Linked DNA regions of Drosophila melanogaster. The protein of the gene in region 3 purifies or fractionates together with the protein of the main gene of each other region. This does not show direct contact. Each region holds a gene or a part of one and is shown on either strand. Other genes may lie near its edges. The genes, in order: boi, ihog, shf and dally.

Evidence for each region.
Region 1: the proteins of shf (region 3) and boi purify together in Drosophila melanogaster (affinity purification with western blotting, with the first as the bait; one study listed by BioGRID). This does not show direct contact.
Region 2: the proteins of shf (region 3) and ihog purify together in Drosophila melanogaster (affinity purification with western blotting, with the first as the bait; one study listed by BioGRID). This does not show direct contact.
Region 4: the proteins of shf (region 3) and dally purify together in Drosophila melanogaster (affinity purification with western blotting, with the first as the bait; one study listed by BioGRID). This does not show direct contact.

Annotation. Positions count from the first base shown.
Region 1 is NC_004354.4:2,466,776-2,472,322, reverse strand, and holds the start of boi (brother of ihog), read left to right. Parts: upstream 1-2,279; 5' UTR 2,280-2,432; exon of another isoform or gene 2,433-2,718; intron 2,719-2,911; 5' UTR 2,912-2,986; intron 2,987-5,547. Other genes in the region: trol (terribly reduced optic lobes), read left to right, coding at 1,129-1,171.
Region 2 is NT_033779.5:6,944,121-6,950,466, forward strand, and holds ihog (interference hedgehog), read right to left. Parts: upstream 4,689-6,346; 5' UTR 4,374-4,688; intron 4,305-4,373; 5' UTR 4,294-4,304; coding exon 1,633-4,293; 3' UTR 1,344-1,632; downstream 1-1,343. Other genes in the region: Fgop2 (fibroblast growth factor receptor 1 oncogene partner 2), read right to left, coding at 1-876; Gas41, read right to left, coding at 5,255-5,412, 5,471-5,996. UniProt on the Drosophila melanogaster protein: Mediates response to the active Hedgehog (Hh) protein signal in embryos, functioning upstream or at the level of patched (ptc).
Region 3 is NC_004354.4:6,776,417-6,782,276, reverse strand, and holds the start of shf (shifted), read left to right. Parts: upstream 1-2,617; 5' UTR 2,618-2,866; intron 2,867-5,860. UniProt on the Drosophila melanogaster protein: Required for normal accumulation and movement of lipid-modified hedgehog (hh) morphogen. May act by stabilizing the interaction between heparan sulfate proteoglycans (HSPGs) and hh, HSPGs being required for diffusion of hh morphogen.
Region 4 is NT_037436.4:8,825,559-8,831,083, forward strand, and holds the start of dally (division abnormally delayed), read left to right. Parts: upstream 1-1,946; 5' UTR 1,947-2,674; coding exon 2,675-2,945; intron 2,946-5,525. UniProt on the Drosophila melanogaster protein: Cell surface proteoglycan that bears heparan sulfate. Functions as a coreceptor for growth factors and morphogens, such as the products of dpp, to regulate signaling and distribution of these ligands.

The DNA.
Region 1 (5,547 bases), 4.3 Mb from region 3:
TGTGTAGACATGTGTCTGCAGTACAATATTTAAAACCGTTTGAGTATCTCTTAGGTTTTGAAAGTCTTTAGTCATTCCAAATATAGGTATAACAAGTGTCATAGCAGCATATCCTAATCCATTTACAATATAGTCAAATACATTTGAAGGTGTTACCATTGAAATTATCGTGCCATATCATTGAAGAATATCATGTTATATTATACAAAGTATATTAGAACGGCAGCCGGATAAAGTAAAATAGATAATCGACTATATTAAGCTATCATAAAGGACATTAAATACATAAGAGTTTTTTTTTCCTAGTTAAATAGTTAGCACCAAATCAGACATATGCGGAGTTCACACATATGGTATTGTTACAGATCCTATCTAGTATTAGCCAATTCTTACTGGATTGTACTCCTTTCGAAGCCAAGCTCAGGTCACACAACTCTAAAGCTATATATTTGATCATACCCGAACACCAGTTATCTATAGGTAGAAAACTCTTGCATAGATAGGTAGTTCAACGTAACCATATCCTATAGGAAAAACCCTTAAAACAGATATCTGTGCAATCTATCCTGAGATACGGTAGCTTTAGCTCAATGTAGTCGAAATGTACTCTGCTTTGTGACCATATCTATGAATACTATTATTATTGTTACCAGCAAGGAATACCTATAAACCATATGAAACAATTATAAAATTATATATAATTTTACCAGATCTCAAAAAGCTGACTACGTTATTATTTGATACAGCTGTGTATTATCCAAGCTTATTAGCTAGATGTTCTTATAAAGATGGGTAGTTCTGAGATGCATAGTTTCCCAATTATTTAAAATAATATAATATATGTCAATAAAATAATAATATGGCATGTAAGAAGTTATAAATTCAAATTTACATTGACATTGAGTGTACGAAGAAAACCATAGTTCTTCTTCGCGTTGAGGCAAAGTCTGAAAATGCAGTTTGGCGAGGCTTTTATCAAATTTTATCAAATATAAGTAATGTATTTATTAAAGTTAGACCGCACACATTTGATTTTATAATAATTTTTTATAATAATTTTTTAATTACAAGTTTTTATTTTTTTAATTTATTTACAATTTCTCTCGTTTCTTCATTTTATTTAATTAGTAACGACGATCCACTGGGAGGAACCGAACCGCCAGTCGTCTGAGGACACAACCAACAGCCGAAACTAGCTTTTTAATTAAACATTAACAAATGAAACAAAACGAACAACAATTTTTATATATACAACATATGCATAAGCCCAAGAAAATCCACAAAAATTGAATATTATATCACTTACACATAATATAAAAAAAACAAAAACAAAAGAGAAACGATCACTTCAACTACAATTGCTTCTTCGATCCTTAAGTCTAAGTTAAAGATTGTAGCAAGGAAAAATGCGAAAATATCACAAACATTTATTTAACAAAAACGCCATGCAAGAAGTGAAACGAAACAGATACAATAATGCAACTAATGCAAAATAATACAGAAAATACAGTTAAAGCCTAGAACCCTAAGAACTTACTAACTAACTCGAGCAACAACAACGCATACTAGCCAACTGCAACCACAAAATCCACAATAGTGAAGGCATTTTAATCATAATTTTAGTCTCTAGCTTATACCTATGACTACGACTCTTTTTTTGCCAGCCCAGTGTAAAAAGTTGGAGATCGAAAATTGGCCCTACACACATACAAGACCACGTTATTGATTAAAAACCAATTGATAATACACCTACATACATATAATGATAAATGAATTACTAAGAATGCAACTATTGTGAACGAGCGAAAACCGTTGAGTGGATAAAAGCGAATGCAGAAGATATATTAAAATGAAATCAACAACAGTCTGGAATGTGTTTAATTGTGGGAGGAGTTCTTCATTCATAAATCATCATTTCCATAGATCATCTTCATCTCTATTAACGATTAAGATTAAGGATTAAGGATTCAGAATAAAGGTATTTATTATACTCATTATAAAACTTAAAAGGTATGCTCACAACAATCATTAGTTCCGACTTCCGTTATAATTCATTTGTAATATCAAAATACAGTGGCCTCCTCCCGATCAAGCAAATTCAAAATTGTAAGAGAAGAGAAGAATTCAATTACATTACAACAAAAGAGAAGAAAGAAGACAACTTCAAAATGTTCTCTTTTGGTTTCTCTCTTGGTTCTCTGCTCTTTCTCATCAAGATTTTCGAAGCGCGCCCAAAAGTATGCACGAATTGATATAAGTACTACATTACGTTACTTGGCTCACTTCGCTTCGCGCCGCCGAGCAAGAAAGACGTGTGTGCGGAGTCTGCGCGAAACTATAACAGAGTTATATTTGAATATATATCTCAAAATAAAATCGTCGTGCTAATAACGGTTATTTGTTTACCTTTTTTTTGGCTGTTCTAAATCCCTGTGAGTGCTGGTTCGGCTGCCCTTGAGGTGCATTCAAATTAGGAAGTGCAAAGAAAGAGAGAGCGAGAGAGAGAACGAGCGAGAGCGAGAAAAGTGCGTGTGCCAAGTTTGTTTTTATTTTTATAACGGCAGCCGGCTAAAAAGGCAGCGGCGTCGCGTAGGAAACACCTAATAACTATAAATTATGCCCTGGCGGAACATCAATACTTGGCGAATGTCCGTCGAGAAGTGATCTCCATATCCCCAGAAATTCGATTTAAGCCGATGCCAATCGCCCTGTTCTCGAGTGTGTGCATGTGTGTGTGTGTTCGAAAGGCTTTGAAAATGCCATAACATTTTAATGGGTTTCTGTTATTTGGACTGCCTTTTCTCTCGGCTCTCATTGTTCTTTTACTGCTTGTTTCTTATGTGATGGGAAAATCGCAAGAATGCTGCGACCAGTGATCAAAATCTAATCAAAATATTTACCGTTCGTTTAGAGTGCGACAAGCGGCGCAGATTGGAATTGGATTTGGATAGAGGATTTAGCTGCCCTTCGAGGTTTCAGTCAACAGGTGAGTTTTGCAACGGTAAATGGCCAATGGCCAGTGGCCAGTGTCTCGAAAGTAGTTCATCTGGTCAGTGCAGTCCGTAAATGTCGGTAAATCAGAGAAACCCCCTTCCCCGGAATTACCACTGCCATATCGATCGATTCCAGTTGACAAGTTTTTCGCGATGGTCATGTGGCCATGTCCTTTTTTGGCCAACAGGCGATGGCCAATGGCCAATTGCCAATTGCCGTTACTCTTATGTGTCAGCGGGCCCCCAACAAAATCACAAAATAACAACAAGTGTTGCACATCAAATCCAGCGCGTACATAAACCAGAAAAGTGCACAACCAAACCTGTCATCCGAGGTGGCAGGGGTCCCAAGACCATCCTTCATTCCCCTTTTTGCTCGTTGATAACATTAATGAACTGTCTATGTGCCGTGCACCAGAATAGAACCCCAAGTTGGGAATGGGATGGGGGATCGGGAGAGGTTGCACAACTACAGTGGGCCCTCCGTAATGTGGAGATCCTTAGACCAATATGTGAAACAATTATTATAATTCTTTGCAGAACTTAACTTTTCTCAAGAGTTTTTTTTTGTTTTTTTTTTGTTGTTGTATGCGCGGAACATAACCACCAGTTTCTACAGTCTCCACAGTCCGTCGTTTGCCAAGTCCACCTGTAGCTTAAGCACGCACATTTCTGTTGCCATTGGCAAGAGGTGAGCGAGCGGAATGCAACAGGCAGCTGGTCGCAGAACAAGATCATCTGGGAGAAGAGAGATAGAGATACATAGATGCATTCAGGGAACCGGACACTTGGCCAAAACCAAAACTAAAACCAATACCAATGCCAAACCTGAAACCGGAGAGCATTCCCATTTTCCAGCCCGTTCCCGCTAACAATAAATCAAAGGGCCGGGGGAAAAGCCCAACAATAAAAATCAAGCCAAGTGTCGTCGTCTCATTCTGCAGGCCAAAAAAGGGATGGAAGGCCAAAGGGGAATGGGAATCGGAATGGTCAGAGAGCCTTTGTCTCGTTGTTGATGGGATTTCATTATTACTTTCGATTGTGGCCCATTGAGACACAGTTCCTTAGCTCCGTCTTGTTCGTCGTCGAAAATGCAGACAAACAAAAAGGTCTCTCGGTCCAAACAAAAATAAACACACCGAGCAGCATCATCACCATCATCGCCGTCATCGTCATCGTTCTCATTCCCATTCCCATTCCCAGTCGCAGTCCCAATCCCAATCTTGTACCATCCACGTCGTCATCTTCCTGGTCTCCTTTGCTGCAACTCTAATCGCATAAGCAGATAGACCAGGTGAACTGTGGACGAGGGGAGCAAAGCGACAGGGCCACACTGAAAGAAGGTAGAAAATAAATAAAGCGATAAATGGAAAATAAATTTCAAAAAATTGCTTTTCAAGTGGCCCAGCAAACGAAACCCCCGCCCCGAAACCCAGGGCCCTATTCGATGTGGGGTCCACTCCAGCAGACTAGAGTCAGTCTGGCTAGCTACCGATCTGAAACATGGCTCTAGCCAGGTCCTTTTCACTGTTGAATCATTCGGGCTGCAATGAATCAATGGGAAATGGCTTAGCATAAAACGGGATAATTGGATGGGACAGTAAAGGGTCTCGATCTTGCAAGCATCTTAATTGCATCAATCGTACAGCCCACCCAGGCATGCGATTTAGAGTTAGAGGAGTGAATTCATTCCGCAAATGAAGAGCTTAACTCATAGCTGTACGCATTTCCAATTGATCTCGGCCACTATTTCCCATTCTGTGCGCTCGAATTTCATGGCCAAAACGTCCGCGATCGATTCTCACACCCCATTAGCACTGATCCACTGATCCAGTTTCCATCCAGCCCACATTCATAGTCATAGTCATAATGAGGAAAACAGAATGCTCCGAGTGCATTTGCCACAAAATTAGACATTGACACCTATTCCCCTTGGGATTTCGATTTCGAATTGGGTTCCGTAAAAACGGCGCATAAAAATTATTTCACGCCACACCAAAATGGGCCCCCAAGAAATTATGATTAATGCTGAAAACATAAATTGGATTTGATTTCTGTTTGTTTGCCGCTTTCTTGCAGCTTTGCCTCGCTTTTACTCGCTCTTTTTTCGGCGTTTTTGTGTCTTTGGGATTTGTTTTTGTTGGTCTTGGACTTCATGGATAACTTCCCCTTCGCCCTCTCTTCATCATTTTGTGTTGTATTTTTTTTTTTTTTTTTTTTTTTGCTAGGTAGCCGCCGCCTGTTCATTAGCACAGACTAATCATTGGAGCACAAGAGGCTGCCGTGGGGCAGGAGAAAAAAAGATCGAGAAAGGTGGCAATCAACGTGAATGAATGAATGGCTGAACTCTCGTCTCGACTTTGAATCTTGTGAATGAGCCTGAGACGCGGAGACGGCATGAATGGGAGGTATTCGTTCGGTCGGTTCGGGCGAGGGGTTATGTTTCTCCATGCCTTTTTGTGATCTTCGCTCTCCACCAGCGGAAGTGTAATTGCAGACTGATTTGGCCGGGATTCCGATTCGGATTGGGATTGGGATTGGGAGTAGTCATCTT
Region 2 (6,346 bases), on a different chromosome or scaffold from region 3:
GGTTGTGTTGACTGCAGGTCCGTTATTGTTATCATTCGCCAGCGGCTCTTCCCCCGGCGGCGCCGTCTCCAATGTCACACTTGGTGCTTGTGTTTCACTTTGACTATGCACTGGTGCAGTGTTAAATGAGTTCGTGGTGCCGGCGACTTTAGCCGGTTGCTCCGGACTGCTGTACATCTGGATAACCGAGTTGTTGTTCATGTTTTCCACCGAGGCGCCCGATATGGACAGATCGTCGGCGGAGTCGTCCGCCGTACTGTCCGTTTGCACAGCCTTCTCCTCCAGCAGGTGGTCGCTCTCACGAATCGGTCGCTGCGAGGAGCCGTACTGCTTGGAGATTTGCAGCAGCTCGCGCAGCGTTTCGTTCTCCAGACGCAGCTGGGATATGGTCTGCAGCTCTCGCTGCACGACACCGTCATCTACACTTGCAGCTAGCTGCATCACTGCTGCCATTTCGTTGATCTTCTCGCGCTGCTCCCGGATCACCTGCCACATGCGTTCGTTGTACAGCTCCTTAAAGCTAAACTTGCTATCCAGGACCTTGGAGACGGTGTGCTCGCGATACTTTTGCATCATCAGCTCCATGGCACGCTCGTAGTCCTCAATGAAGATCTTTAGCTCGCGATTCTCTTTGAGTATCTCCGAGCTGTTGATGTTTTGCTGCTGAATGCGATTCACCATGTCCGCGTTGGTCTTGTTGTTCGAAATGCGGTTGAGTGATTCAATGTCGTCCTGATACTGGCGAAGGCTCTCCACCAGCCGATTGTTGTTCTCCGCCTCCTCGAGCAGCGCCGTGCCCAGGGCGTCCAGGTCCTTCACCCGACTGGCCATGCGCTGCGCATCCATTATAATCTGGCCCACGGATAGGTTCGACATCCTGCCCAATTCAGTCCAGTTGCGATTTTTGGATTTGTATTGTTTTCGGGGGCCAGGCCCTCTGCTGCTGGCACTGCGAAAACAAAGGGAACCGCTTAAATTTGTGCACTTTCTGGGGCCTACGAGCAGTGTCTTACGTTCGGTGCGGGTAAGGTGCAGCTTCGTCCCTAGCGTAACAGCTTCATTTGATTTTCCGGCCAAAATATGTAGGAATAGAAACGATTTTAATAGAAATTTTGACGACGACCCAATTATTGGCTGACAGCTTATTAAATCCCAAACGCCATCGGATGTTGCACAAATCCCTAACGCCACTCATTGAATGCGAAAAAATACTGTTTCAACACTTGATATACCGCAAATATACCAAAGATTTAAATTATAATTTTGTTTTTTAACTTTTAGCTTGAGATGTCATTTTTTTGGCTAAATCCTTTATGTTTATGTTAAAAAACTCTTTTAAGGTTAAAAGGTGAAGCTACAAGCTTTATTGTCATTTTTGTATAGGTCATTAAGAAGCTATCAGTACAGATTTTGATCTTATCGCGAAAAATGGAAGACTTAGCGTAGAATGGACATAATGCTATGTTCTTAAACGATCATGCATACATAAATCTAGTTATGTCTATTTAAGTACCTATTTAAGTACAAACAGCAAAGGTTTTGTCATTCAAAGTGGTAGATAAAACAGAGGTAGAGGAATAGCATGGTACATCGGGCGTAGGGATGCACAGACTAAAGATCACGAGATTGCGATTACACGCCAACGCTGTTGAGGCTGCCGGAGGAGAGGTTCTCGGAGCGACTGGACAGACGGGGGCGTTTCATGAGTACACGACCCGGCTTGCCGGGATTTTCGATGGAACCCGCCTCTGCGGATTGATTTAGATTGTTGTTGTTGCCGTTGTTGGAGCCATTGCTGCCGCCAGCACGTTCCAGCGTGCGTTGTGAGCGACGCAGCGAGGAGGAGGACATCCTGCGCAGCGTGGGATCGTAGTCATAGCTCGACGGCCGCTGATAATAGGGCGCATCCTGGTCTGTGTCATTCTTCTCCTCCAGCGCCTGCTGCTGCTGCTGGGCGAGTGGATTCAAGGTTATGTGGATGTGTCGTGTTCGCTGGCGCTGCTTGGTGGGCGAGCAGTTGCCCAGCGGCACAAAGTCATCTCTCAGCTCCGCCATCCGTGGCTTGTTTGGATTGTTTCCCCGGCTTCTGGAATTCCTACGCCGGCAAACACAGAAACAGGTGCTAATCAGAAGCAGAATGAGCACTGCCCCGCCGCCGATTGTTCCCGTCAGCATGGGACTCATATTGAATGTCTCGTTATGACTGGGAGTTGTTGTATCGCGGTCGCCCATTTGCAGTGTTGGCTCCTCTGTGGTGCTGGTTTTGGGACGTTGGGTGCGCCCCTGCTTAAGGGCACTAAATTCGGATGCAGAGGCGGCACTGAAGGACTGCAACTTGAACTCGTACATGGTGGCCGTCTCGAGGGGTGCTATTTTAAAGCTTCTAGCATGGGCTCCTTCAATGGTTGCCTTGAAATATTCCCCTGCCGAGGACGAGGGTCGATAGTAGGCGTAGTAGCCAGTGATCAGGTGTTCATCCGCATCGCTGGCTAGACTCCAGTGCAGCACCACAGCGGTTTCAGAGTATTCCTCGATCTCCAGAAGCTCTGGCACCGGCATCGGATCAAGTGCTGCACCTGGCTGCAGGTAAAATTTCGCCGAGGTATTACTTTCCTTATTGTCATTGTTGGAGTAAACGGCTAGGATGCGGAAACGATAGGTGTGCTGAGGCTTCAGGTCCGTCACCGAAGCCGTGAAGCTCTTGCCCAGCTCGGAGTTCCACTTCGGTTTTCCATACGGTATATTATCGTTGGTTGTCTGCCAGTTCTTGCGCTTGCCAACCATGCGGTACTGAACCTTAAAAATGACAATTGGTAACCCATCGTTTCGGGGCACCATCCAGCGCAACATTACGGATTCATCGCTAAGTCGGGTTACATTTGGAGGAGTCGGTGGATACATCTGCTTCTGCCTGGAACCCTGATTGGGCTTGGGCCTGTGTGTACCCCCCGATTCCCGGGGTTCCTGAATCTGCTTGGGATTCACCTGCAGCAGTGTACCCGCACTGTGCTCACCAAGTCTGTTTCGTGCAAAGCATTGGACATAGCCCGCATGACGCTTCAAGACGCTGTGCAATATCAGGAAATTATTGGAGAGCTCAGCCTCAGAATCATCGATGCTGCTGTGACCGTTCAGCAGCCAGTAGATCTCTGGCGTTGGCACTCCTGTGGCCTTACACTCCAACTTCAAACGATCGCCCTCGTTGGTAAGATCGGCCCAGGGTGGTCGCACAATCTGAGGCGGCTGCTCGACATGCACTTTTATGTAGTGTTCTAACGCAGGCCGCACTCCATTATCTTGAAAGCAAATATAGGTGCCAGCATCATTAACTCGGGTGTTGGATATCTCCAAAGCGTGTCCAAATACTTTCGAACGCTTGTTCTTAACAGCTCCCACGACATCGGGACTGCTCCAGACAACCGTCGGTGGCGGTGAGCCAACTCCAGGACACAGCAGCAACAGCGAACTCCCTTCGCGTATGGTAATTTCTTGGGAGCTCGGCTGTCCCCTGAGCAAGTGTGGAGATTTACTCTCCGACCTCTGCTCTGGTGTAACCTGTAGTTGCAGCGAGCCGGGCAGCTGAATTCTCTCGCCAGAGGCAGGATTGGTTGCCTGGCAGGAATAGCTGCCTGACGACTCGGAGGATACATTGCTTAGAAAAAGATTTCCATTGGTTCCGATGAACTCCGGTTTGATTTCCACTCCGTTTCGATAGTAGGACCAACTGGCAGATGGATTCGATTGCACCTGTTGTCCGCAGGACCAGAGCACAGAGTTTCCAGCAGACACCCGCCATTGGAGGGGTGATTCCGATTCCTGAGCGTCCACCAGGCTAGTGCTGGCCAGCTCCAATCGAGCAATGGTAGACGTGACCACCAGCGGACCGAACCAGCCAACGCATCGGTACTCGCCTAGAGTGTCTGGTCGGACGAGCACCCTCAGTCGCGAGATGGCCGCCTCCTGGGAGACATTCGCTTTGGCCGTGCCTGTCTTAAGGTACTTGAACCCCGCTCCCGGAGATCTGCTGGACCGGTGGCTCCATTCGAAGCGCTCTGGCTGCAAACTGGTCTCGCACTCCAGCACCACCTCGTCTCCCAGGGGCGCCACCAAAGATTCGGGTGCGCGAAGAATTCGCACGCCAGGCGATGGATGCGCGGGATGTGCGGGATGTGCGGGATGTGCGGGATGTGCAGAGTGGGCAGGATGGGCGGGGGACTTCTCCAAAACCGGAATTGCTTCGAGCCGCGACGTCAGCAGCGAAAAGAGCAGCAGCGAGGATGTGAGCAGCGTCATTGGAGGGGGCACTGAAAATTTCACGAAAATATCATTGAATATTTGAACTCAAAGGATTAAGAGTTAATGGCATTACTCACCTTATTATGGGATTTTAGACTGATTCTAGGTGGGGAAACGCGTTTGCGTTTGCGCAGTTAATAATTTTCACTCTCGGCTATCGCGCATCACTTATGGCTTATATACATATGTGTGTCTGTGTGCGTGCGTGGAATCGTGGGCCTAAATTATTTATGCACATTACACGTTAACGACGCAGCTCCATAAAATCATTGTATCTTTAATTCGGGCTTCGATCGGGCCCCGAAGCCACCGGACAAGCACATGCACTCAACAAGTCAAATAAACAATGGCATTTATTATTCCATGGGGATGCTGGAACTGGAACTGGAGAACGAACCGCGACGCTGGTTCAGATGCATTGCATCGTTCACCGGCGAACCGGTGATTCCGAATTCATCGGTTCATCGCGGTACAGTGGACTGAATCTATCTGGTATCAGATCAAATTCATTTATTCAGTTCATATTGAAACTTACTCAAAAGCACTCGTTATTAAATTGATTTTAATTAAGTAAAAAAATATTTAGTAATATTAATATTAATTTATATTATACAAAAGCTACATATATTTTTAGAAAATAATAAACACCAAATCATGTAAGATTTACGACGTTATATAGTCAATGGCACCATAGTCAATGAATTTGAAGTGTAGTTTCTTTGTACATTTATATAGAATTATGAATTCAGCTGTTTATAGAGACTGCACTGATCCACATCAATAGCCATCGATATAATTTGCAATACTATAAAATTATGTCCTAAACCGTTTTGTTAGATTTGAATTAGTTACCCGAAGCCAAGAATTGGATATCACCGTTAAAATAATAAAATACATTTTCCAATATTTTATTTAATTAATAATTTTTAGATTATTTCTATAGAGAATTATGCACATTTTACGCAGGTTGCTTCTGCACCTTCGCCAATTCTGCCTTGAACTTCGAAATGGTCTCACGTGCCAGCTTTAGTTTGTCCTTAAGTGTAACAATCTCCCCCTTGACCTTCTGTTTTACATTCACAATGTTGTCCAACGTTTTCGTCTTCTTTTCCTCAACTAGAAAAGTATATATCTAATGAGTAAACATTCAAAATGGTAATCAGCTCATAGTTACAGTCAGTGTCATGGGTTAGCAACCCATTGGCGCTCTGTTCTGAAAGCAGGAGATAATGCTGCAAGATCTGGGTGGGCTCCTGGAACACTATTTCCTCATACGACTCCGAGACCAGGCCCTTCTTAGTGTCCATAGTGGTGCTAGAGGAGAGCTCGCCATCGACCACAGGCGATTGGAAGAGCTTAAGGATGTGGTAGCAGGTAACCGGGCGCTCTGATTGATCGTTGAAGTATATCTTGATGATCACCTCGAATTCACCCCATCCGGTCTCGGTAATCTCGTAGGGCGGCTTAACTACGATCCTGTTCGGATTAGCGTAGCTCTCGTGCAGCTTGAAATGCACCTTTTTCACGTAAATGGACATGTCCTCGTTGAAATAGGGCTTCAAATAGACTTTCCACTGATGCGTGTGTCCGTCCTCCTCGCGCTTCTTGCCGAAGGATCTGGCAATGTTTCCATACACTATGGGCTTTACTATAGTTACGCCCTTTAGTCGGCCACCCGAGTCTCCGCCAAAGTCAGTCATAATTCAACGATTTTAAGTTGTTTATGCTTCGTTAACTAAATATTGTTTTGGTTCTTCTTCTTGCTTTTCGGCTAGCAGTTGTTATCGATATATGGATGCACTGAATACCAGGGCTGAATATAATTATGGACATGAAAAAAAAGAATTAATTATTTAATTAATTTATTAATTAATTAACGAAAATTCCACAATAATTAATTTAAATATTTTAGCTGTATTTTATTTCTTTTAAGTTTAAGCCACTCTTATTTCTTAATTGCATCCCTTGTTTCCGATTGCGTCTTTCGATTGTTTTTGCACTGTATTGTGGGTTGTGGTTCCATCACTTGTATCAATCGGACGCTTTGGTC
Region 3 (5,860 bases):
CGGTTGCCACGTCTAGGAGGAGGATCAGCATCGGGAGCAGCCAACAACTATTCTAATGGGTCTGAGCAATAATGTTCGCTATTCTCTGTCTATATATATACAATTATACAAGATATTTAGCTGTAATTACCAGCCGATGCCGAATCGGAAATACATATACATACTTACTTAAGATGTAGCGATTCAGATACGGATACGGATACATGTAGCCGCGTACAAATAACGAGCCGATCTGTAGTTTAACTATTAAGCTCTATGAGTCATTGGGTCGATGGACCTAACCTCAGCTAACTCCCCACCAATATTCGAATCCGAATCCCTGTCTGCGAGTCCCAAAAACTTTTTCCCGGACTTTTGCCAGCACTAGAACACCAAACTAACTAACTAACTTACTTACCACCAGAGACAACCAATCAAGAAATCAGCAATTTTCGCTTTTGTTTTGAGATCTCTTTTTTACACAAGAACACAACGAATTTTGAAAGCAAGCTACGTGAACGTAGAGGCCAACCGACAAACTATATTCGACGATATATGTAGCGATATCTCGGACTATAAATCGATGCAATCCACGAGCAGAACACCAAGCGAACCCTAGCACAAAGCGCGTTATATGCAATTCTCTCTCCAAACAACCAATATTAAATACCCGTGTGTGTGTATGTGTGTTAGAAGTTATTCAAATTGAAATTGAACTCAAAATCAAAATCAGAGATTTCAGAGTGCACGAAACAGAAAACAGAAGGCGGTATCTATCGATCAAATCAATCAATCAATGAAATCAATCAAAAATTCATTTTGCGACTCAATTAATTGAAGAAACTTTTAAAGTTACAAAACAAAACAAAATACAAAAAATACAAAAAAAAAAAAAAAAACAAAAAAGGCGAGGAACCTGTGGAAGAGATTAACTAAATTCAATTTGCTTTTAAATGTACGACTAACATTAAAAATATTTATGGGCATGTAATAATAGTTCTAAATAACGCTTTGACTTCTCCTTTCAATTCTGTGAGGAATAAATTTATTGATATTGCGTGTAAAAATATTAATCATGAGAAGAAATCTGAAAGCAGAGTTAAAACTGAATGAAATCGACCTCAAGTTGTTTTTACTAAGCAATACTCTGTCTCGTCTGAGAATAATGTCTTCTTATTTAGAAATGGGAAACAGAAAAAAAGGCTGCTTACTTGAAGAATTTAATTCCCGATCACCATAGCCATTTTAATAAACAAAAAGAAAAGTCAATTTTTTTTTTTAATTTGTGTTGAGTGAATTCGATCTTCTTTTTGCTGCTGCTTCCGCTGCCGCTGGCGCATCAATTGTGTTTACTAAGCTAACGAACCTAGGGACAACAATTTATTCTTGTTTTTTTTTTTCACCTATTTTTAAATTAAATATTTTGTATATGTAGAGAAAATTTTCAATTGTAAATGTATTTGTATTTAAATGTTATGTGTGTATTCATAAGAATGAAAATAGCTACCACAATCAATGTATTTTTCCTTTATCTGCAAAACGCATTTTTATTGGGGAAAAGGAACATGGGCTACGTTGCTTTCCAGAAGTCATTGAAATAAAAACAATTGTCGAAATAGGATTTTTCCTTATTGTACGGCCAATAAACACATATGACTATTTAAATTCGAAATAAAAATGTTCGCATTTTCGATAAGGGTGTAAGTCATCGAAATTTTCGATAAAATTACCGTTTCCATGTTTAAATATAGTTAAATGGGAAATTTAATTTTGAGTTTAGTGGGGCATGGCATTCTAATATTGTTCAACTCTCTTTGTTGCTATCCAAAAGAAAACTGATTATATTTTTCAAAAAATTTCAAAAATTTAATAATTTTGAATGGGCTTTTTCAATAACTTAGCCGAAAAGAGTGGCACTGTTTTGTACGACTTGTAAACAGACACATTCGCATTTATAACAGAGCGTAATGACAATTATTTAATTTTGTATATATAGGATTTATATCGCCAAAAATCTGGGTATGAACTTTGGCCAAAAATCGATCATTTGTAGCGGACGATGTTTTGGGAAAAAAATCAAATTAATTATTTAACCCATTTTTTTAAACAATTAACAATCTGCCTTTGATACAAAGAAGCAGTTACTAAATTTAAATTGTTTAATGCTTTTAAGAGCGAGGTTGCGGCTTGAAGCGGTTTGAGAGAATTGTTTGAAGGTTCGAGAGAGGCAACCGCAGTAGTGATGCCAATTTGGCTATTTTTTTTTCTGTGCAATACAAAGCGCCATTAGATTTTATGTCCTCACCAAATACCAATACTCAGAAGCACTTTTGTATAAATAAACTATGGCCAACTGGTTTGTAGAGTTCAACGAATGCATTGGAAGGTACGTACTTTCTATCAACAATTTTCCAAAATAATCATAATTTATTGTACAGTTCTATACGCGCCTAATTTTATGACAGTCATTTCATTAATACTTAATATTCGATGGGAATTTAAGGGGAATTTGGCAATTAAGCGTCATGTGTTCTTCCTTTCTTTTTAGCAGAGCGATCCGATCGAGGGAGCGGGCATCACTGCGCTGCGATCGAAACGTTCGCCGGTTTTCGTTGGTTTGTTCAGATGAGCTCAGGAGCTGCAGTGCGACGGTCGCGCCACGAAACTTTGCGGGATTTTTCAAGTGTCGAAACCGACTCTTTTCGCGTTTGTGTTCAAGCCCCAAAGGAGCTTTCGAGCCAACGAAATACGTGCAAAGTTTAAGGCTCATGTAAATCGGAACATAAAGGACCAACAAATCAAGCTTTACTTGTTTTTTACACCCTTGTATTTTGTCAACGAAACGACTGTTTGTTTTTTTTTGTTTCAAGCCGGCGACAGCCAACGAGTACGTAAAGTGTGCAAATTTGAAATTGAAAACTAACCTGTGATCCTAAGTTTATGTGATTGTTGTGAAAATATTGCTAGACATGCAGAGTTTTAATCTCGCACTAGCGCAATTTTGTGATAAGAACTAACTAAACCGCTGAAGTGCGAAAGCACTTGCATATTTTTTACCCATATCAATGGGTATCTCACCTGGCCATTCAAATCACCTTGCTCGATTGATCGAAAGATCGAGAGTTGATGTCCAGATTGTAGGCTTAAGTGCAATTGAAAACGGGCAGAATTTTGCATGTGAGAAGTGCACAGATATAAAACCAAAACAGATAAGCTAAATTAGCGAATATAACTTTTTCGCAGGCAGATTCTTGATCTTAACTTTCCCCTAACGGAATGATAGTTTGGGCCATTTCGAAACTAAACTGATAGTGCCAAGATTATTCGAAAATTTGTCGTAAAACTAATACCCAAGTGCCAAAGCTACCGAGGTATGTAGGGTATCTGGGATGCCCGCTGGTCGGCTGTACTTGACATGTTCGTTTTGGCGCGCTCGAAAGGCGTGAAAGTCATTGTCCAACGTTGGCCATTTGATTGCCAGCTCCTTGGAGCTGTATGCTGGATGCGGCGATCTGCGAACTGGTAATGAAGTGGACTGCAGTGGAGTGGAGTGGAGTGGAATGCCTGACTCTCCAGCATGCATACATATAGACACACGATCGCCTCATCGGAATCGGAATTCTGTGGCTCTCAAGTAGCTTCTGCTTCTGACTTTGCTGCTTCTTCTGCTTGTCCTGATGCCCATGCTGCCGGTTGTCCGGCAGCCTGCGTGTCTCGCTGCGCTGCCCCCTCTCCAGCTCCGCGTCCACCAACCTGAACTTCAACTCCAACTCCAACCTCCACCTCCTGCGGCACTTGAGTCCACTTGGAGACAGGCGTTTTTATCCGCCTGTTGTCTGGCTCCCCTCCTTCTACTTCTACCCCTCCTCCTCCCACTCCCTTTTGCCACTCAATTGGTGATCGTTATCATCAGTAGGAGTAGCAACCAGGATTAATGGGCTGCGCCAGTCTAGAGCATCACGAATAGGCCAACACCCTCTAGGTCAGGTGTCACAGCTATGACCTACACGGAGAAAATAATAATCTTAGAAATTAGGCATAATAACCTTGAGCTGATGCACTAAAATCCAGCAGATACTTTTGTATCTTATATATACTTTTGTATCTTATAGATACTTTTGTATCTTATAGATACTTTAATATCTTGTAGATACATTTGTTCCTACAGATACTTTTACTTTTTCTTAAAGTAAAACACACATGAATGCTCAAGAAACAATATGCTTCCAATTGGCCAATGTCCAAACACTTGATGGGTATTTAGCAAGTCGACTGTGGCCGTCCTGTCTGCATTATTTGCCCAAGGTGTTTTTGTTGGTGTTTCACACAGTCGCTTGGTGTTACTTTGTGTGTGCCAGTGTGAGTGTGTCGCTGTTGTTTCATTAAGCAAACAGAGCTGCAAGTGCCACTTGTTGCTGTTGTTGTTGTTGTTGTTGTTACTGGACATCATTTAAATCGGTAGCCGGGAAAGTATGTAACTCTCCTCACTCGCTCATCCTTGCTCATCTGGCTTGCTCTTTCATTCGAAATCCTTTTAGCCGATGACTTTGTCTTTTTGAGTCAACAAATTGCTTGTACTCTCTATACTACACAGGGAGAAACATATGATATGTTTGGATATTTTCAAAGCACTTGATCCTGATATCTGATCTGAGCAAATTCGTATGTACTTATATATCTGTAAAATAAGCCTAAGATATCCAAAAAATATTGTGTAATATCTCGGTTTCGACACATTTGTTTTGGATAACTACTGCATGGGTAATTTGGAATCGATAGGGTTTCTTTTCTCGGTGTATGTCATTTTTTACGTTGGGATTGTTTATGAACAACTTGCCTCTCGCTTGCACCTGCAGTACACCATTAATGGCTGGCTGTGAGTGTGCGATTTCCAGTGCCTCTCCTCCGCCCCCACTTCCTTTTCCAGTCTCAGTTCCATCCCATCCCATCCGATCCCACTCCACTCCGACTCCAGTCCACTCCAGTCCAGTCGAGTCCACTCCGCCACTCCAAGGGGCAGCTTCTTGTTCTCGTTGTGTTGCCTTTTGTCGTACCTTGTGTGTGTGTTTGGGTTCTTTAATTTTTTATTTTCACGTCTCATCGTCGAGTATTTGTTGTTGCCCCTGTGGATGCTGCTTCTTTATTTTCTTGGTAATAAGGTGTGAGAAAGGCAATAATCGTAAAGAGCTAACAAATTGTTGTTGTTGCGCTGCTGCCGTTCCTACTTTGATTGCTACTGCCACTCCACCTCCTCCATCTCCTCATCTCTCTTCTTTCACGCTAAAATGTTAATCTGTCCCTTTTCCTCCAGCTGAAGCAATTATATCGTTGACGACAGCACTAACAATGCATGGCCATCTTCATCTTCATTCCATCGACCTGATACGGTGTTTGATAACCACTTCCCTGCACTGCACCTGATCCTCTCACAACCAAACGAAGGGAAAGTAACAGACACGCGAATTCTTCAGTCCAACAGTAGTTGAGTGCTTGCTAACTGCTCAGTGTAATGGTGAAAAGGGGTTAAGTTAATGCTTATATAGATATATATGTTTATATATATACACTTTACACCTTTATGAATATCTCCCTATTAATTGCACGCTGACTAAGCTTTCCTCAGCCTGCGCTGCGAATGCGCCTTAGCTGGAAATTCCAATTCTGATTCGGACTTAGATTGACCATGAGTGGGATTATCTATGCGCCGGTGCCGGCTATCGCCATCATGTGCTTCCTTATCGGCCGACCGACCATTAATTAGCACGAAATAAAAATAATTTCAAAACAAAGCGTGAACATCGTATTTATAGGAAATCGAGGTCTGGCCCGGTCCCGATCCCGAGATCCCCACACGATCCCGATTTCGAATCCAATTTCAATT
Region 4 (5,525 bases), on a different chromosome or scaffold from region 3:
ATATTTTCCCGATCGCCAAAAAGAAGCACCATAATTTATAGATGCCGTTTGACTAAATTCGTTTAATTCCAGTCCTACCTTTACCCACACACCTATATAATATATATGCCTACGGTTTACCTGTGCGATACAAAAATAAGGAGGAAAAAAAAACGGAAAATAAGGCGAGAGAGCGAGAAGTAAAAGGGTTTTGGTTTTGGTTTCGGTTTCGGTTTCTTTGGGACCTTCGCTCTCATCGATCGTTCCGTAGTGTACATTATAATTTATAACTTTATCTAAACGATGTGGTGGTGTTTAATTTTCGACCTCACCTTTTCCAGCTCGTTTTTGTTTTTTGTTGCCGTTTCGCCATCCCATCACCATCATCATCATCATCATCATCACGGTTGTTTCTGATGTGGATTCGTTTCATTGGAGAACTGTTTCCGCTTCGCATGACTCACTTTTCGCTGTTTGCCCCGGGGTCTTGAGTCTTCTCCTTTTTTTTTTCTTATTTTTTGGGAGGTCTTTCTTTATCGCACACTAATTTGAATAGGATTCCATTTCGTGATGAACATATCACCGGGAACGGAAAACATCCATGGGGGGTGGGAGGGCGTTTGCGCCCAGCTGGACGCCCGCAACTGACCACCATGAAGTTCCCGCTGCCCTGGCTATATAGTATCTTGTTAATGAAGAAATAGATACACAGACGCCCCGAGACGCCTAGGTATTTAAGATCGAGGTCGGTGCCCGCGGGGTGACGAGTGAAAGTCCGGGGAGAAGAGGCTGGTGTGTTCGGGTCGTGCATTGTCTGCCACACCGCTGCAGCCTCAAGACAATCGCTTCGTTTTCGCAAATTGCAAAGGGAAAAAATTAACAAAAGAAAAGAAATGAAGAAAAAAAAACAAACGATACCACCACACGTGCTGTGCGAGGTCATGACACGGCTATCAATTTGAACAGAAACATTTAGCCCTAGGGAAATAGCTGCCAAGCATCTGAGACTCTTCAAAGGCGTGAAATCTGAGCCTGCTCCACGGGTTCATCAAGCCGATCGTAAAACATAGCCTATGAAATAAAATTAGAACTCATTCAGACATCAATTAGAACCGAGCATGCAAATTTCAACCAGCGGCATCGATAAAAGCCCGGATTAAAAGCCACCGGAGCACCCGAGAAGACCACTGTGAGATGGATTGATTTACGTTGAATATGCAAATTGCAGCGAGCCAACGTTGAAAGCTTTTAGAAGAGCATTTCGAGAATTTGAATAAATATTTAGGCCCATCGGACACAGAGAAAAATAATCAGAATCAAGCCAGCTCCTGTGGCAGATGACACGGCCAGGGAAAACTCGAAGTTGGTCCTGAAGAATGCCGGAACCCATAAATAAATGCGAATCACTATTGAAATATATAAAACGAAAACAGGATATGTGTCATATCAAATTTTATGGAACTACGTAGATTCATTGGCTGTCGAAATCGTTTGGCAATCATCGAAGAGAATAGATATCTTACGAAAGCTAAGCTTGCGTTACTAACTTTAATTTCCCCTTTTACTCATACTACATGCTGTTAATAAATACAACATCTTATAAATTGTGGTTGGGCATTCCTTAATTAAAATACTTTATAATATCTAATAAGCATTACAAAGTTTGTGGTTTAGTTCGAAGCTCGTTTTCCAAAACTCTAAAGACTCAAATTAATTAATTCATTTCAGATTGCGCCCTTGTATTACTCATGTATTCTCGGCGTTAACCTGTGAATTAAATTGAGTTCGCATAAACACCTCTATTCATTGCACCACTGTGCCAACATCTGTGCTCGCCGTTCTCTTTTGTTCGAAAGAGAGCGTTCGGATGGTTCTCTTAGCGCCGATTGTCGAGTGCCGAGTGTGGTTCGTGTTCGCATCGTTAAAGTTGTAGCACTCAGGGCGGATGTTTGATTTCGATGGCAAAGTCAATCTGTTCGGGTTTCTCGTCGTGGAAGGTTCGTTGCGCGCGCGGAAAAACTGAAAATATCGGTGCGAAATTCGAGCGGAAAAACGCTAGAAAAGAAGGCGAGTGCATTTCCTCGACCTGAGAACGCCGGTGGCCAAGGAGCTTTGCAATTAAATCTATTTTCGCCGACCTAAGTACACAAAACGTAGGAGAAAATTAAAAAGAAGAAAAAAAAAACAAATCTAATCGCTGGCAAATCAATTGCTAAGGAATTGAGTACTATTCGTTGTTATGTCATGGAAAGTCTCTGAATAAGTTAAGAAAATACTTGTGAGAAATTTAGCGACCTTTCAAAACTAGAAAGTAGAAAAGCAAAAAGTGCTAGACACGCGCTCTCTCTTCGACCACCACCCACCACCACCCACTATCGCCATCCCACGTTTACTACCACGTTTATTGCTCACGCGTGTTTTTGGGGCCTTTTGTTTTGTGCGCTCGTGTTTGTGGCCGTGTGTGCCAGTGTGTGTGTGTGCGTGTTAGCCGGCAAGTGCATTTGTGTGAGTGTGTGTGTTTGTTGCCGCGAACAGCTGTTCACCCAGACAGCATGCAGAAGTAAATACGAAGAAGTGCTGCAAAATAGAGTAAATAAAATAACCGGCTAAAATAAAAATAAGAGAAGCATTCAAAGGCAAATCAAATTTAGCCCCATCATCCACTGTGTCTGCACACAGAAATCACCCATCAAAAATGGCGGCCAGGAGCGTGCGGCTAGCGCAGCTTTTGCTATTTACCCTGCTCTGCGGCTTCGTCGGCCTGTCAGCCGCCAAGCACCTGGACCTGGATGGTATCCACCACCACCAGCACCACCTGCACAGCGCCACCACGCACCACAGACGTCGCCTACAGCGGGACTCGCGGGCGAAGGACGCCGTTGGGGGATCGACCCACCAGTGTGATGCCGTCAAGAGCTACTTCGAATCGATCGACATCAAGTCGAGTGGGACTTACAGCGAAAAAGGTAAAGTTCACGCCATCCATCCGTAGAGTTATAATATCGAGTATGCACTTGGACATGCGGGCTGGGGAAGAAGCGGGGAACGATGGAGGAAGTTAAAGCTACCAATATGGTTAAGGCCCCTTAGGAGCAAACGTACTAACTTTAAACTATGCAGAGGAAAACGTATGTTATTTCCCCAGGTCACTAGAGTGGTTCGAATACTTAAAGTCTAAGTTATCTACTCCATTAAATAAGAAAGAGGTACATAAATTGGGATTATTGATAATGGTTTTTCAATTTAATTACTTTTGCATCCTCTCCGTTTAAAAACATTTCTTTTGCGGGAAATTCATTGCCTTGATTTCAGAGTTTGTCTTAACCCTCGCCTCGCCATCAGTCTTCCATACTTCAACCAAGTAAATCGCGCGTCAGCCAAAGTTTTTGCCATCCCGCAGCTGCAGTTTCTCTTATTTCTAGTCCGTTCTAGACCCCATCCGCTTCTCAATCCCCGCCAGAAACTAGAAGCATATGCAAATTCATTGAACTGAGTGAAACCCTCGAGCGGGCAGCCACTCGAGGCGAACTATGACCACTCGAACAGCCGGGCGCCGTTTGCAATTAGAAGATTGCGCATTGAGCAACGCCTCGGAAAAGTTTTCGACGTGCCGTGGATAAAGTTTTTGGCCGCGCCAGGTTCATTACATATCGGATCTGGCACCTCGCAGATGCAGAGATACATAGATACACAGGCGGCGGCATCATTTGTTATTCTGATTTCTCGACACTGCCATATCAAGTGGCACGCATCTGAGGCCAAACTGTGTGAAGGCTATGGAAGGTATATTTATATTTACCACAGCCGATATCCACAAGATACTCGACATATTTTTGTTTATGCATATTTCATACCCGAAGTCAAAAATAAGACCGAATAACCAAATAATGCAATACAATCCGATAATATCAGTCGAAAACGAGCGAATGTACCCAATATATATCTGTTTCGTGTAATTGAGTGAAAAATAATTATTATTGATTAGCCGACCTTGACTTGGTATTTACGCGTTTACGCACAATTACATGATACACAGCCGCAAACTCGACTGGAATACAAATGTATCTGGCGATGATGTTGCAACTTTTCCCTCCAATGCTTACCTGTCTGCAGAGGTTCTCGGTTCTCTTTGCTCATTCTGTTCAGTCGTTCCCACACGCAGGTAGTTAACGCCAAGAAGAACTATCTATGAGATACATTGCTGAGCAGACCGCATTGCCATGGCATCAAAGTGTGAAGAACCGAATAGCCAACCGAGAGTTGGCGTTACAAGTGCATGTTTGTGTGTCCCAGAGACTTATCCACCTGAATGCCAGAATGCCCAATTGAACTGGTAGCTGGAAGTTATTAGCGCTGGCTTTGAGGAATTTCAATTTGGCTAATGCCAGGCGGCGTATCTCCGATCAGCACCTATGTATGTATCTCTGTATCTCTGGTCGTTGCTCCTGCTTAAGTATGCCGAACCTTGTTTTCGACATTTATTTACTGTTTACATAGTTCCACTTGCGCCTGCCTCCGCCTCCGTAGAATTTATGCCCCGCCAATGTATCTATGTATATCTGTTAATGTATCTGTATCCGTACAGTACGTATCCGTATCTCCATCTATATCTCTTTCTGTTTGCTCTGGAGTGTGTTACTTTTACGTTTATGTGCTGTTTGTGATGCTAATCTCTCGTCGGTGCCATGCATACGATATGTTTCTCCCGATTTGCTTTTGCCGTGCAGTTCCCGGTAGAGGCGCTCGGCATAAAACTAAATTTTAATTTAATTGCGCACACCACTCGACTGCTAATTGAGTTGGCTTTGCTTTTGGGCCAAAAAAAAAAAACAGTATTACTCCGTGCCTATTAAAATGAACATTAACATTGGCGCGTTACAAAGACGCACAGGAAGTCGTAGCTGCAGTATCTAATCGTATCGCACAGTATCTGTATCTGTTTACCTGCAAGTATCTGTAGTATCTGTATCTATGCTTAAGGCATAGCAGTTCCAATGCCCCCGACCGTGTTACTAAATATTTAAGCAACTCGCAACAGAAATTAGAGCAAGCCATGAGATATGAGCCCATGTATCCGCGTATCTCCTCCGCCGGCAAGTGTTTGTGTGCCGCCTGGCTAGATAAGTGAAAAGTGCAAATAGAGAAGGCAAAGGCAAACGTGACTCGTTTGGAGCGGGGAAAACTGCTTAGCAGACAACTTTTCAAACGGATTCCATTTCCCTGACATGTACGTAGGTATGCATACCTGCAGTTTGGGTGCGTGGGCCTACGCTTATGCTTTTGCCATCAAAGGAGCTCATCCTCGAGTAAAAATTTTAATTAACTAGAGAACTGCGCATATGCCCCAATCCCATACCCAAATCATTAGTGGTTAGAGGAAGAGCAGCACAGCTCACTATCGCTCGGCACTGCCAATTAAAAGTTGAAGTTCCATTCCATGTGAGATGGCAAATGGCATAGAACTCCACTTAAGGCTTAACTGCCAACATAAATGTGCCAAATTTCGACTAAGCGAAATTCGTCAAAAAGTAGCAAAACCCATCAAG